Canis lupus familiaris: one gene and its partners. The protein of the gene in region 4 purifies or fractionates together with the protein of the main gene of each other region. This does not show direct contact. Links are inferred from orthologs where the notes say so. Each region holds a gene or a part of one and is shown on either strand. Other genes may lie near its edges. The genes, in order: ANKRD52, PPP6C, ANKRD44 and PPP6R1.

Region 1 (4,253 bases), on a different chromosome or scaffold from region 4:
AGAGAGAGAGAGGCAGAGACATAGGCAGAGGGAGAAGCAGGCTCCATGCACCGGGAGCCCGACGTGGGATTCGATCCCGGGTCTCCAGGATCGCGCCCTGGGCCGAAGGCAGGCGCCAAACCGCTGCGCCACCCAGGGATCCCCAAGTCAAGAATTTCAATCTAACCCAACCATTCATTTGATCTTGAGCCCAAGTGTCTATATAGTCATCCAGGCCGCTTCTCCCAGACCTGATGGCCCAGAAGCAGAGGATGGTGAGTGGGAAGGGAAGGCACGGCACTAGGCTGGGCATGAATGGGAGCAGTCCTCACCTCGAGATGCCCACTATGCACTGCATGGTGCAGGGCACTACGCCCGCTCCTATCGGCCACGTTGAGGCTACTCAACAGGGGTGCCAGAGCCTCAGCACACTTCGTGGCCCGGTTGGCGGCAGCCACATGCAATGGTGTCTGCCACAGCTTGTCCCGGGCGTTCACATCTGCTGAATGTGCCAGCAGCAGTCCCAGCACCTTCTGTTAAGGAGCGGGGGGAGGTAAGAGAGAAGACAGAGGGGCAGTGGGAGGTAAAACAAATAGTGGAGGGAAAAACAGGTCAGCATGACACACACAGCCCCAGCTCCCAACTCCCCAGCACAGAGTCTTTTCCCATTTTTCGTACATAGCCTGTCAATACGTACTTCCCATCTTCCGAATCTTCTTAGAGTCTAAAAATCTTCCCAGACCTTGCTGAGGAAAGCATGGTCCCTTCCTTTTCCTCAAGCCACCTGGTATCACTCCCCAGCCAGACTCTGAAAATCTTCACCCATGCACACAGCTACTACCAAGCAAATCCACATATAAAGAGGATTCCAATCCCTCACTACTTTTCACTAGGAAAAATACACACTCCTGCTACCTTAATGCCCCGAATACCCGCCTTCAGTCCTTCAATAGGCACCAAAATCATTTCTACTACCTCAGTAAGCAAACAGATGCTGGTCCCCCTCTAAAACCCAGGCTAAAAGGTCCCTCCTAATCACAACCCACCCCATTCCCATTGGCCTCAGTCCCTCACCCTGCTGGTCAAAGCCAGGGAACTGACCATCAAGCCAAGAGAGAGGTCTCCTCTTCCCTGCTACCCAGGGTTGATGGACCCAATTGATGAGACACATGTGACCCCTATGCTGTCAACTTTCAGGCTGCTTGAGGGGCAGGGATGCAACAGATCACTACCCTCAGCCCCTCCATCCCTCCATCACAAGGTAAGAAATCTCAGTGCTCAGAGGGGGATCAGACTCCAAGGTGGCCCCCCAGGGAGAGATGAGTCACTCAGGCCTGGCAGCAGGGCCCCCTGCAGTCTGCCAGCCCAGTGTTAAGCTCTCCCCTGACGTCACATCAGCTGGCAACACTCAGCTCCCCCTCACCAGCCAGTTCTAGGGGTGGGAGGGAGGGGCCAAGGTCTAGTCTCCTGACCTAGGGGTAGACCAGCTGGTAAGGCAGAGAGCTGAGGCTCTCGAATCCTTCACTTCCACCTTTAACCAACTCATCCTCTTTGAAAGGGTGAAAAGGCACAGGAGGCTGGTACCTCATTTCGGGAAGCAGCAGCACGATGAAGAGGGGTCAGCCACAGTGTGTCCTTAGCATTGACATTAGCACCTGTGGGGATACAATTTCCTCTTTCAGTGGGAGAGGGACAGCAACGGGGAAGGAAAGCCGTAACCAGGCCAAGGAATATGGATAGAGATGGAATGCCTCTCGCACATCAAGGTCCAGAGAGCAATGCTTGGATGGGGGGATGGAGGGGAGGGCTCTTCCTTCAGGTCCCCTCCCCAGGAGCCACACCTTCCAGCTCCCCCCTTTCACCTGACATCAGTAGCAACTGGAGGATGGGGACATCGCCTACGTAGGCAGCAGCATGCAATGGGGTCCGCCTCTCTTGGTCCTGGGAAGGCAGAAAAGAGCAGCAGCTGCAGGGATGGGTGAACTACCAGGGACCCCAGCCCAAGCCTTAGAGCTCCAGGCCCTTCCGCCCTCTTCCCACAGGTTCTGCAGCCTCCTAGAGCCCAGTCCTGGGTCAAAACAGGCACCTAGCGCGGGCGGCGTCAGGGAGTCAGGAGTCAGGGGTCAGGGCCCTGGGGCTGGGAGGCGGCCTCCCTCTTCCAGGAGGGGTGGGGGCGCTGCAGACACTGCTGGTTCGGAAGCGACCGCCGCTGCTGGGCATCCTCGGCGCCACTGAGGCTTCCAGCCTGACCTGCTCCCCGGGTCCGCCGCGGAGCCGGCGCCCACCCCGGGGGAGCGCGCTGCGGCCTCGTCGGCGTCGCGGAGCCGCCCGCTGCGGGGCGGGGACCGGCGCGGCAGGGCCCGGGCGCCGGCTCCGCATCCTCCCCGATCCCAGCTCACCAGCACGTTGATGTTCTCCTTCTGCGAGAGCAGGGAACGCACTTCCTCCACATCGCGGCTAAAGATGGCCTGGACCAGGGGCGGCTGCGGGAGAACCGGCGCTCAGCCAGCGGGCCGCGGCGAGCCGGCCGGGGGCGCGGGGGCACCTGGCCCGCCGGGGGGCGGCGGGGCGGGGCGGGGCTGCGCGCCGGGGGCCGGGCGCCGGGGGCCCGCCGCGCTGGCCGGTCGCCAGGCCCCCAAGGACGCCGGCGCGCTTGAGGGGAGCGCGGCGCGGGGCGGGGCGGCAGCCGCGGGGGCCCCGGGCTCGGGCCCAGCCTAGGCCGCACATCCCCGGGCTCGCGTGGCGGCGGCGCCGGGCCCCGGAGGGACGCGGCGGGCAAGGACGGGCGGGCTGACCTGGTCCGTGATGCTGAGGATCCCCATGGCCCGGCCCGGGCTCCGTCCGCATCGAGCTCCCGGCGGCGGCGGCGGCGGCTCCACCGGGGACACGGGGCGGCCCAGGCGGCGGCTGCGGCGGCGGCTGCGGGGAGAGCGCGGCCCCGCCTACCGGGGGGCGGGCGAGCGGGAGCCCGCAGCGCTCCCTGGCGGCGGAGCTGGGCCGCGGCCCCCGCCCCCAGCCCCGCCCCGCCCCGCCCCCTCCCGCGGGCTGCGGCCGCCGCGGGCCCCCCCCGCGCTCCGCCGCCCGCTGCCGCCCGACGCCCGGGCCCAGGTCCTCCCGGGGCTGAGCGGCCTCGCGGCCTGGGCCCCTGGGCGCGCCCCCGGCCCCGCGGCGCCCCCGCGGGAGGTAACGCCTCCCGCCGGCGGTTACGTGCCCCAGGTCCGCCGCGGACCTGGGGACCCACGGGCGTGGCGACCTGGGGTCACGGCCGGCAGTGGCCCCGGGGACGAGGAGGACGCACATCTTCTCCGGCGGTGGCAGGACTCGGGAGAAGGGAAGCAGCCGAGCGCTGACTGCGGAGAGGACCCCCGGGGGCCCCGGGGCGCCGCACCCCCGCACGCAGGCGGGGCGGCCGGCGGCTGAAGAGGGCCCCCGAGGCCCGCAGAAGGGGCGCCTCCCCAACTCCCAGTTAGTCCACGGCCGGGTTAGGGCGGTAGGGCGGCCCAGTGGCTTCTCCCCAGAAGAGGGTGGGTGCTTTCCCTCCTGCGCTGGAGAGGCCAGAGGGCAGCCAATCAGGCAAGATACTGATGGAGGTCATCCCAGCTCAGAACAGGAAAAGAGGGGAGAAAGCTGGATATTGAAAAATTGGTGCAATTTATAAAAGGTGATCCAAGGTCCTGCTTAGAGCTCAACAATTCAATCTGTGTGCTCTAAGAGGGAGCACGTTGAGGAAGAAGGGCCGCAAGTTGGCCCCCTGTCAAGGCATACGGATAAAAGCTCCCCTTTCCTCTCTAACCAATCTGTACCCTTCATTACCTTTGGTATCTTGATTCCCACCGGAAAGATACAGACACTGATAACTGAGAGAGAAATGGTTTTCTCTCTTTCCTGGAGAGAGAAATTAGGGAACAGGGAATGAGGAATGAGAGGGGAAAATACCTATCATTAGATACCTTCAGCAGTTTTTGAGGGACTCCCAGGTGGCTCAGTGGTTGGACATCTGCCTTCAGCCCAGGGGTGATCCTGGGGTCCTGGGATCGAGTCCCGCATCAAGCTTCCTTGGATGGAGCCTGCTACTCCCTCTGCCTGTTTCTCTGCCTCTCTCTCTGTCTTTCATGAATGAATAAATGAAATCTTAAAAAAAAAAACTATTTTTGTATACTTCTACCGTATTGAAAAAAATTTACATTACTTAAAACTTAACCTATTCCTCCAAGAAATCTTCCTCGGTTAACAGGGTTTTTCCCTTTTGTTAGGCTTCGTTAACACTTATATAT
Region 2 (3,563 bases), on a different chromosome or scaffold from region 4:
TGGTACTTGTTATTTTGTGAATGAAAATCAAAAGTAACTTGTAAAAAGGGGACAAATATTAGCCATCTAACTTATCAATTACTATTAACATATAATAATAAATTATCAAAATTTCTCAATTTAGTAATTGATAGTGGCTTACAAATAAGAGTTTAGCTCATCTTTATAATGACATAAGAGAATCCAAAATATAAAATCTGAAACTAAAGGGTTATGAGATTAATATTTTCAAATATCTCAATATATGCCTTAATTAAGCTTAAGGAAAATTCATGTTAATAACCTCAACAGTCCTGCTCTCTATCTCCTTCAAAGAGCTTTGTAACCTAATTTTTTTTCCTAACTTCATTTTTTAAAACTTTCAACCATATACAAGTTTTATAGAAGCAGATATATTTTGCTTTTAATGGCTAAGTTCTGTTTCTGACCCCTGAGGTCCTAGCACTCTCTGGATGGAACATATGGATACACACACATATATATACATAATTATATATGTTATACACATACAATATTATATATGTCAGCAACTTAAAAACAACTCCAAAAAAAAAAAAAAAAACCCAACTCCAATGTCCAATGTTAAAGGTACTGATTTAATCAATTATAGTACATCCATACAGTGTAATATAATGCAACTATAAAAATAATGTCAATGAAGTAAAGAAAGGCTGGTCACAGCATTAAGTGAAAAAAGCAGGTATGTACACACACAAATATGTTTATAAACACACACATACACACACATATACATATAATATATAATAGGTTCTCAACTTTCAAGTGCAGAACATTTACCTTCAGCAGATTCTAGGATTCCCACTCCAACAGGTTTTCAGTGGGGGCCCAGCAATGTACATGTTTAACAAGTACCCCTGATGATTCCAATGATGTAAACTGAGGGCTACACTTTAGGGCAATGATCCAGGATGATGTACATCAAAAAATTAAGAACAGTTCTCTCTCCATGGTAAGGTTCTCAGTTGAATGGGGGAAGAGGAGGAGTTAAAAAGTGGAAAAAGATGATTTATATTTCTAACTTTATATAAAGCACATGTATGACTTGTATGGCTTTTTTCCCAAAGAGGAAAGGAAAGCAATATTCAGAGAATCAGAGAAATAGAAAGTCTTACCATAAAATCCATACACCTGTGTTATCTGTCTACTTTCATGATTTCCTCGCAAAAGTGTGATACGATCAGGCCATTTAGCCTTTAGTGCAAGAAGGTAAGTGAAGGTCTCCAAACTATAGTAACCTCTGTCTACAAAATCACCCTGTAAAGTAAAAGTTTACAGTTAGAAATAATAGCAACAATGTATTTTTTAAATTATACCAAGGTGTACAAACTCAGAGACATGGCAAAAAAAAAAAAATAACAAAATTGAAGGGTCATACATTGATTTATTTGGAAATTGGGTTTTAACAAAAAATTCAAATCGAAGTAAATAAGCAGTCTCTACTAAGTGTGCCAGTCTTATGATTCAGGAGGCCTACAGGAACCTGCTATCCAATTCTCTGAAGGATCTTCCCTGAAAAACCACCATTTTTCTAATTCTCTATTACCTACATTAGCAGGTGTTTCAAAAAGGTCACATGTGAATCCAAAATTTTTTAATGAATTTCAAAAATCATTTAATTATTATTTTTAAATGTTTAAGTAATCTCTACACCCAAAGTGGGGCTCAAACTCATGACCCTGAGATCAAGTCACACACTCTCCTGACTGACCCAGCCAGGCATCCCAAAAATCATTGTAACTATATAAAAAAACCTAACAACTTGAAGAAATAGTGTTTTTATAAAAGTATATACCTTAATTAGTGTTTTAGGTTCAGTTGTGTATTTAACAACTGCTTGTGAAGCCATACTACTTACACTTCCCATTAGTATTTTATTTGGGACAATGTTGTTAGATCAATAGGAAAACAGCTCAAAGAATAGGAAAGTGACACACAAACCTCTAGAAGAAAGAAAATGATAGGATTCATAAAAAATTCAATAGTAACATGACATTCCAAAAGGAAAGTAAGCAAATATCCACCTTAATAGCAAATATGTATGTTCATATATTCATCAATCTACAAATTGATAACAGATGAAAATGAATGCTCAAGAAGATATGATAAAATAACAGTAAATTAAAGCTCTGTGCCTTAATCCTGGGAGGTTCTGGGTTATTTTTCTGCCAACCATTACTTATGCCTAGAACCCAGTCCTATGCATATGGCAATTTACTAAAGCAATCATTTTCAACCAGACAAGATGGCAAAATGTAGAAAAGTATAGCATCACCTTTTCATATATTTACAAAGTGATTGTCATATGACAAAGAAATTGTTATATAATTTCCATGTAATAAATCAGATGCTTTCCATTTTAAATAAGTATTTGGTATCATGTGGGTTTACATACCATAAATATGTAGTTTGTGTCAGGAACCTGACCTCCAGTTCTGAATAGTTCGCAAAGGTCATAAAACTATAAAAGAAAGTCAATATATGCTGATTAATTACAAATTCCTGTAAAGGAGTAAAATAATAAAAGTGAGAGCGAAATGTGTAAAGGAGCATGTAATTAGGAAGGCCTGAAATACTGACACTTATAAAAAGAAATAAAGTGTAAGCAAAACTGCCAAGCACAGAGCTCTCAAGCCTAATAGAAGCACTAAAATAAATCTCACAATTACCAATAAGGTCATTCCTAGATCATTAATGTTATAGGCCTTCTCCCTCAAATTTCTTTCATTTATCTTGTCATCTAGAATTTTTTTAAGTAATCTCTATGCCCAACATGAGGCTTGAACTCATGACCCCAAGATCAAGAGTCACATGCTCCATTGACTGAGTCAGCCAGGTGCCCTATCACTTGAGAATTTGAAATAACTGATCAATTATCTAACTTGTTAATAAGCTAAGCTAACCACCCCACCCATACTCAGCATCTATTTTAATGAGACAAAAGATAAGGAAGCAAGTGGGTAAGAATTTTTTTCAAAGAATGAATTTACACGACACTTCACAGTTACCATGAAAAGCAGATCAACCTACCCTCCCACATTCTACTTTGGAGGCTCTATAGCTATGGAATGTCTTCTCAATAATCAGTAAAAAAGAACTGTATATTTCATCATTTTCTATGTGACTGAAAATTAGTAATTGACAAATTGTACATGTGGTAACTTCAGTCAACTAGATTATCTTAATCCTAATTCCTAAAGAAAACTTCAGTTTTTCTAAGGATTTTGGATTAAAGGAATTTACTATAATTTACTGTACCAACTATAACTAATCACTTCCTATACAATCATCTTTTATACTTGAAAATAAAATTATTCAATTTCTAACACTTAAAACATACAAGAATCTTAGTCATAGTGAACAAAACTGAAATTTAAATGTTAACTACTCAAAGAAATAAAACACTGCCCTTTATAACAATATTTCATAAATCTGAAGTTATTACTTGCTTGAAGTTAAAAAAAAAACTTTAGAAGTTTAAATAAAATTTTCCTACCTTCTTAAAATTAGCAAGCAAATAAATGAAATGTTCAAATCTCAGTCAA
Region 3 (3,563 bases), on a different chromosome or scaffold from region 4:
TACAGAAACCTCACAATTTTTGAGGCCAAAGTTAAACTAAAATGGGACGCTTGGGTGGCTCAGTGGTTGAGCATCTGCCTTCGGCTCAGGGCGTGATCCTGGGTCTGGGGATCGAGATCTGCACTGGGCTCCCTGCAAGGGGCCTGCTTCTCTGTCTATGTCTCTGCCTGTCTCTCTGTGTCTCTCATGAATAAATGAATAAGAGCTTTAAAAAAAAAAAACAAAGTTAAACAAAAATATCATTTTTTTTCTTATTTAAATCTTAACTTTTATATGGTGGTTTAGCTTTACTTTTGTTTGTTTTTTGTTCACACAGCTAGCTTTTAGAGCTTGCTAGCTTTTAGAGTCTGGCTAATATTTATTCACAAGTGTATGTTAAGAATACACATACACGTTTCACTCTAATATGAGCTCCAGGAATGTTACTTAGTAGTCATTACCTTATTGTCTTGCTGAGGATAGGTGACATATATCTTTTTTTTTCCTTTTTGATAGTTTTAAAGAATTATTTGTTTGCTTGGGCCCTATGAGTATATTGTTTATGGCATCTAAATGGAGCATCACACTATGTTTAAACTGTATTCTCTAATTTACAAAACTAATTTTTTTGCTCTCATTCTACTGTCCATGTTAGCCATTCATCTCAATGTGTTGCTACTACTGATGCATAGAACATTCTTCTTATTTTGTTATTTATGTCCCTGATACAAATGTTAATCTTAAGATTTTAAATGATTTACTATCTGAGCACCTGTATGTATCTGCATGATAAAGTAGATTGGATAGTTAAGGCCTGTGAGGAATATGGTGGACAGGGGTAAGTTCTTGATCCATGAAGGGTGGCAGGAGTGTGGCACATTTCATTGCCTTTCATTGGTTTATTGATGCCACATTGAGAAGATGTTTATAAAGGAGTCCCAGTAACTGGTTCTAGGGATATCTCTAGAAGTAAAGAGAAACAACCAACAGTCACTCCCATCTTAAGAGAAGCTATATCCTTTTCTCGGTGGAACAGAAGAGTGTCCTCAATCCTAGCCATACAACAAAGTTACAGAAGCTTTACAGAAATTCTGAGGCCAGTTAGAATCTCTGGTGTGGCACCAGCCATCTGTATTTTTTTTTTTTTTTTAAGTAGGCTTTGGAGCCCAGTGTAGAGCCCAACAAGGGGCTCAAAATCATGACCCTGAGATTAAAACCTGAGCTGAGATCAAGAGTCAGATCAAGAGTCAGAGCCACCTAGGCACCCCAGCCATCTGTATTTTTAAGAGCTTCTCAGGTGATTCCATTATATAGCCAAGGTTGAGAGTAATAGTTCAAGAGGCTTATAAGCTGATTAGGTCAACGGAAGGAAAATAAAAAGTGTAAGTCTCAGGAAAGGTGAGGGAACTCAATAGTAGAAAAGAAGTTGCCCCACTATAACATGGAAGAGGTTGGGGGAAACACAGAACAATTTTGTAGCTTCAAGTTGAGGTAGTAATAGACATCTTCCCTTGACTGCTATTGATCGCACAGTGAGGGTTAAGATGTTGGCGGAGACAAAGATTTATAAATCGATCCAAGAACGTCCAAAGGGCTTTGAGGCCTTTGGCTTTGGAAGATGGAGGCTTATTGACAAGCACCTCCAAGTTTAGATGATCTTTGGGGGCCTTTTGACTTATGGATATTTTACCCCAGGTGTGCACTTGCACGGGGTGCTCTCATTTGTCCTAAGGGTACTTTACACCCTAGTAGGAAACCTTACACTTAGAAAGTTTACTTGGTTTTATTTTTATTTTTTTTAATTTTTATTTATTTATGATAGTCACAGAGAGAGAGAGAGAGAGAGAGAGAGAGGCAGAGACACAGGCAGAGGGAGAAGCAGGCTCCATGCACCGGGAGCCCGAAGTGGGATTCGATCCCGGGTTTCCAGGATCACGCCCTGGGCCAAAGGCAGGCGCCAAACCGCTGCGCCACCCAGGGATCCCGCTTACTTGGTTTTAAAGCTGTGCCAGGGCTCTTGGCCTAACACAGAAAGATAAATGGATCTGCTTTTGTCTGTGCCACTCTTTCGATCTTTATCACATATTACCTTGCTTTTCTCAGAAGAACCTACATCTTGAGCCAGCCTGTGAGGGCACAGAGCCTTCCCTTCCTGTGGCTCCAGGGTCTAGTGAAGCGTCTTCTATCCAATCAGTGTTGATTGAGCCTCTGTCAGTGACCCCTGCCAACTCTGCCTCTGTTGTAGGAAGCAGTGCAAGTATTGATTAAGCACTCGGCTGACGTCAACGCGAGGGACAAGAATTGGCAGACGCCACTCCACGTGGCAGCTGCCAACAAGGCTGTCAAGTGTGCAGAAGTGATCATTCCCCTGCTGAGCAGCGTCAATGTCTCCGACCGAGGTGGGCGCACCGCCTTGCACCACGCTGCTCTGAATGGCCACGTGGAGGTGAGTGCCCTCATCACTGGCGCCAAGCATTCTCCCTACAGACTCTCTGGGCCCCAAGTGGAAGCCAGGCTTACGCTGAGGCTTTCAGAGAGCATGATGCTACCATCCACACACCCAACCTTAGGCAGCGACAGCTAGTTTTAACTGTACAGCCAGGGGTTGAAAAAGGAGCTGTCACCTTGGCCTTTTCCTCTGACACACGTGCCATGGGGTTGTCTGTGACATCAGCTTCCTACTGTGTTTGAATTCCAAGTCACTGACCTGCCTTTATATTGGATGTTAATTTGACTCAGATTATCTGCATGTTGGTTTTCTTTCAGATGGTCAATCTACTCTTGGCCAAAGGAGCAAACATCAACGCATTTGATAAGAAGGACCGGCGTGCTCTGCACTGGGCGGCATATATGGGTAAGAATTCCATGAATGGAAAGAAAAATGCAAACAACTGTAACTAAAGAAGCTGTGAGCCTGTTGCTAAGCGTGTAGGCTTTCTCTTGGGCAAGCCTGACTTCTTTCCAAGGTTGGGATCTAACTGAGTTAAGATTTGGGCCATTTTACTGGCATACGTTGAGTGCTCTCGTTAGACAGTTGCTCTGTCAGAGGTTTATTTACCCCACAGAGAGGAGGAGGGATGAATCATGGCCTGGACCTCATTGAATGTGCTCCAATCTGGACTGGAAAGCAGCACAAACGGTGCTTCTTCTAACTTGTTATGGCAGCAAAATGAAGTATTTAAAAAGAAAAAGGACTGGCTAGCAAAGCAAGGACATGAATGCCATTTGTCCTTTTATTTATAAATATTTTGGAAAGAAACAAAAAGGAAGGAAGGAAAGCCCCCTGGCTGTTGTGTAGGTTGAAGTGACAAGGGTCACCATGGATTATCCTGCTACTCTACAGCCGACGAAGCTGAAGTTTGCGGTTCTTGCTTCTGCCAGCTTGGGTGGGAGAAATGAAGGAAGAGGTTACATTGCTGTGTTTTTCTTTTTCACTTTTGTTGGCACAAATACCACTGATACATGACAGACCTCATAGAGTTTATTCTCAGTGTAGATTGGTGAGGAACAAAGAACTGAGATCCTTCCTTTGTGTTTCTAACTGGAGAACATTCTGCAATTTGAAAAGCAGATTCGATTCTATC
Region 4 (3,563 bases):
TGCTGCCATAAACTTGCTCATCAATTTGCAAAACGGTAGAAAACTCTTATTTTTTTTTTCTGACTACAAAAAGAACAGATGCCTGTGGTAGAAAACTTGGTAACTAAAGAAGAAAGTTGATGACTGCAACACCAAGTTAAATTGCTATTGCTCAACAAAGCAGCTGTAGAAGTCACCGAAAGCTCAAGTTCTCCTGTAAGCACAGGGCCTGGTGGAGGGCTGGGGGCTGCTCTGGCATCAAGGGGTCATCCCACCAGCTACACACGCAGCTGACTCCCCAAGGAGGGGACAGAGGAGCCCCAGCTGGTCGCTCCCCATGCTGAGCCCAAGTGCCAGGACTGGTGGGACCAAGGAGGACGCAGGAAGCCTGGCAGAAAGTGCCACACGGCCAGCGAGTACTCGTGCTCCCACCTGCTGTGTTCTCACCCCTGCTCGCCTACAGAAGAGCACACTCACTTCACGCTTTCTTCCTGCTCCCCAAACTCCTCATCATTGAAGCCAAAGTGGTCGATGAAGGCTGAGGTCATGCGCTGCATCTGGAAGTCCATGAAGGCCTGTGGAGGAGCAGTGGTCAGGGATGGGTGGGGCCAGGCAGAAAGGGGCAGGCCCCTGGCCCCCAGCCCACCTGCTGCAGTACTGCCTCCTCGGGGAAGTTGAACTCCTTGAGCCGGTCGTCCTCATCATCGCTGGAGGAGTGCAGGTGGTGCGTGCTCACCTGGGGCATGGGGGCAGGCAAGGGGTGAGGGCCAGGATGGCAGGGTGCAGCCTCAGGGAGGTGCAGGTGGAGAACAGAACCGCGGCAGAGAGCTGCGGTGCCTTACCAGGTCCACCATGTTCTTCTTGTTCGTCTCGGCCAGGGGTCCGGCCACAAAGGCCTCCCACCGCTCCTGCTGCTCACCCGGCAGTTCTGTTCAGCGCAAAAGAGACAGGACGTGAGGCCCCCCGCCACTACAGCCAGCAGCCCTGCCCCCAGCCCTGGGGCGACACCCTCCCGGACCCTCACCCTTCAGCAGCTGCCCCAGCTGCTCAGCATTGGGCCCCTTCTCCGTGTTCTGCACCAGGGCGTTGGCCAGTCTCGTCAGGTGGCCCATGTAGCCTTTGCGGGGGCCCCCGGTAGACCTGGGCAAGATCGGAGGCCGCAGCTGGACATGGGCCCATGCGCCCCCGCCCCGCCCTCCCCAAGGGCAAGAAGTCCAGGGGCCGCTCACTGCACAAGGTCGTTCTCTTCCCAGGATGTCAGGATGCGCTCCACCAGGCGGCACTGCTGCAGGAGCTGTGAGGGCAGTGGAGACAGTGGGGGCACCGGGGACATGGGGGCAGGGCCAGGACGTGCCCCTCCCAGCACCCAGGGGGATTTACAGAGGAGTGGGAGGGGGGGTGGGGGCCATGTCCAAGGCCCTAGGCTATAACCCAGGAAGTACCTCCCCTAGAGTAGCATCTGTCACCCCAGAGGACACTGCTGCCCCCTGAGGGCTCCCGTCTGCACCCGCCTGCACATCATCCTCCATTTCTCCCAGACAGACCTAAGGACAAGGCTGAGCCCCTGGCCCCCAGCATGTGAGGCCACCTAGAGAAGGCAGAGGGATACAGTGGGTGACCCACAGGAACAGAGTGGGGTACCCGGGAACCCCAGCTTACATGTTTCACAACGGGATTTGGGACAGGCATCTCAAGGCTGCTGTCGGAAGGAGGCCCAGCACTGAGCATGGCACTCACACAGAACTCCACTTGGGCATGCAGGAAGTTGTTGAACATGTAGTGGAAGAAGAGGTCCTGGGGGGCGGGCAGTGGAGGCTGGCATGGAAAGGCCCCTCATCCACCCCTGCCCAGGGCCCCCTCCACCCCCTCATCCCCATCCCGCCCTTCCCCACCCTGCCCGGGCCCTCCACCCCACCCCACCCCACCCCACCCCCTTCTCCGCACCAGCATGGTGTTGGGCACATCCAGTGCCAGGAGCTCCTGCGTCAGGGCTGGGTCGTTGGCGCTCAGAGCGCTGGCCAGCAGCTTGACCACATGCAGCCGAGTATTGCCCAGAGGCGGGGCCAGGTTGCCCCAGGTAGTACGCAGTGGCTCCAGCTACAGGCACATGGGAGGCTCAGTGCCACCTAGAACCGTGGGGCTGCCCTCCCTGCCACCCTACATCCTTGGACTCCCAGCCTACCTCAGGGGGCTCAAGCAGAAGCTGGTGGAAACGGCTGAGCCGTGGGCGCAGGGCGTGCAGGGCGCCCACACTGGACATGCTGCTATCCAGGGTCGCCTGGGCCAGAAGCTCCAGCTGCCCATCCACACTGCTAAAGAAGTTGTTCACGGTCACAGACTCGGACCTGCAGGGGGGACAGGATGCAGGGCCTGTGTGCACGCATATGCATATGTATGGCACATGTGGAAGGGAGAGACAAGCTGCTTCCTGTGGAAGTACAGCGTGCACGGGGGGAGGGGGGGGGATGCCCAGGGATCATGGGCCTATAGGGCCCTGGACTCGGCCAGTCAGCTCAAAGCTACAGGTGGTTTACATGGCCTCAGACAGGAACTGAGAACTCCTCTCCCAAGACCCTAAGTGGTGGGATGCCTGGGTGGCCCAGCGGTTGAGCGTCTGCCCGACTTGGGGTGTGATCCCAGAGTCCAGGATTGAGTCCCACATCGGACATCGGGCTCCTGCGGACAGCCTGCTTCTCCCTCTACTTGTGTCTCTGCCCCTCTCTCTCTCTCTCATAAATAAATAAAATATTTTAAAAATACAAAAAAAAAAAAAAAAAAAAAAAAAAAAAAAACCAGATTCTTTAAAAAAAGACCCTAAGTGGCCACCAAGAAGGGGATGCTGCTTGTAGATGACAAGTCCCCACACCTTCACCCCTAAAAAGAAGGAGAGGGTCTCTGGGGGATGGCAATAGCTGCCTGGGGAGGCAGGGCCCCCTCACCTTGGCCTTCGGGGTTCCAGCAGGGTCAGGAGCACCTGGATCCCGCTCACAATGACAGACTGGCTCTGCTCTCCCTCCAGCATGTTGCTCAGGAGCTGTTCAATCGTCTCCTGCCTGGAGCAGGGGTCGGGACAGGGGATGAGGGTGGGGTCGGGGTGGGGGTCATGGTGAAGGGCCCCGGACATCTTCCCGCCCTAGGCCTTGGAACCACAAACCCACTTCTCCAGGGTGGTCAACAGCTGGTCGGGCTCTAGGCTGTCTTGGACCTGGATCATCTGCTCCCGGCTCAGGCGGATGATGTCGCACAGGGATTGGGATGCATTGGAATGTTGCTGGGGAGGCAAAGAGAGAGCTGAGGATGCCAGCCCAGCACCTGTGCCCTTCATGTCCTGGAGCTGACCGCCCCACCCTTAGGAAGAGGAGTGGAGGATCACACAGACAGGGAGACACAAGTGCCAAGGCAAGGAACACAAGGCATCAAATATCAGGAAAGAAGACGGTGAGAACCTGGGAAACCAGGAAAGTTTCCACACCATTTGCTGTAGCCAAAGGAGGGAACAACCACGAGGTCTACCAACTGGTGAGCACACAAGCTACTGTGACTCGTCCATGCACCAGCACTCCACTGCATGGATACACACGGAA

The links.
Region 1: the proteins of PPP6R1 (region 4) and ANKRD52 purify together in Homo sapiens (co-immunoprecipitation; 3 studies listed by BioGRID and IntAct, with this or other methods). This does not show direct contact. The link is inferred for Canis lupus familiaris from reciprocal best matches to the Homo sapiens genes PPP6R1 and ANKRD52.
Region 2: the proteins of PPP6R1 (region 4) and PPP6C purify together in Homo sapiens (affinity purification with mass spectrometry; 11 studies listed by BioGRID and IntAct, with this or other methods). This does not show direct contact. The link is inferred for Canis lupus familiaris from reciprocal best matches to the Homo sapiens genes PPP6R1 and PPP6C.
Region 3: the proteins of PPP6R1 (region 4) and ANKRD44 purify together in Homo sapiens (co-immunoprecipitation; 5 studies listed by BioGRID and IntAct, counting the BioPlex papers as one, with this or other methods). This does not show direct contact. The link is inferred for Canis lupus familiaris from reciprocal best matches to the Homo sapiens genes PPP6R1 and ANKRD44.

The regions. Positions count from the first base shown.
Region 1 is NC_049231.1:925,278-929,530, forward strand, and holds the start of ANKRD52 (serine/threonine-protein phosphatase 6 regulatory ankyrin repeat subunit C), read right to left. Parts: upstream 2,802-4,253; coding exon 2,775-2,801; intron 2,463-2,774; coding exon 2,379-2,462; intron 1,921-2,378; coding exon 1,842-1,920; intron 1,635-1,841; coding exon 1,564-1,634; intron 513-1,563; coding exon 312-512; intron 1-311. UniProt on the Homo sapiens protein: Putative regulatory subunit of protein phosphatase 6 (PP6) that may be involved in the recognition of phosphoprotein substrates.
Region 2 is NC_049230.1:57,997,900-58,001,462, reverse strand, and holds part of PPP6C (serine/threonine-protein phosphatase 6 catalytic subunit), read right to left. Parts: intron 2,480-3,563; coding exon 2,414-2,479; intron 1,276-2,413; coding exon 1,134-1,275; intron 1-1,133.
Region 3 is NC_049258.1:6,563,102-6,566,664, reverse strand, and holds part of ANKRD44 (serine/threonine-protein phosphatase 6 regulatory ankyrin repeat subunit B), read left to right. Parts: intron 1-2,224; coding exon 2,225-2,425; intron 2,426-2,745; coding exon 2,746-2,833; intron 2,834-3,563. UniProt on the Homo sapiens protein: Putative regulatory subunit of protein phosphatase 6 (PP6) that may be involved in the recognition of phosphoprotein substrates.
Region 4 is NC_049222.1:103,182,611-103,186,173, reverse strand, and holds part of PPP6R1 (serine/threonine-protein phosphatase 6 regulatory subunit 1), read right to left. Parts: intron 3,251-3,563; coding exon 3,138-3,250; intron 3,033-3,137; coding exon 2,919-3,032; intron 2,325-2,918; coding exon 2,162-2,324; intron 2,077-2,161; coding exon 1,924-2,076; intron 1,774-1,923; coding exon 1,639-1,773; intron 1,274-1,638; coding exon 1,209-1,273; intron 1,120-1,208; coding exon 1,004-1,119; intron 908-1,003; coding exon 822-907; intron 716-821; coding exon 626-715; intron 555-625; coding exon 457-554; intron 1-456. UniProt on the Homo sapiens protein: Regulatory subunit of protein phosphatase 6 (PP6). May function as a scaffolding PP6 subunit. Involved in the PP6-mediated dephosphorylation of NFKBIE opposing its degradation in response to TNF-alpha.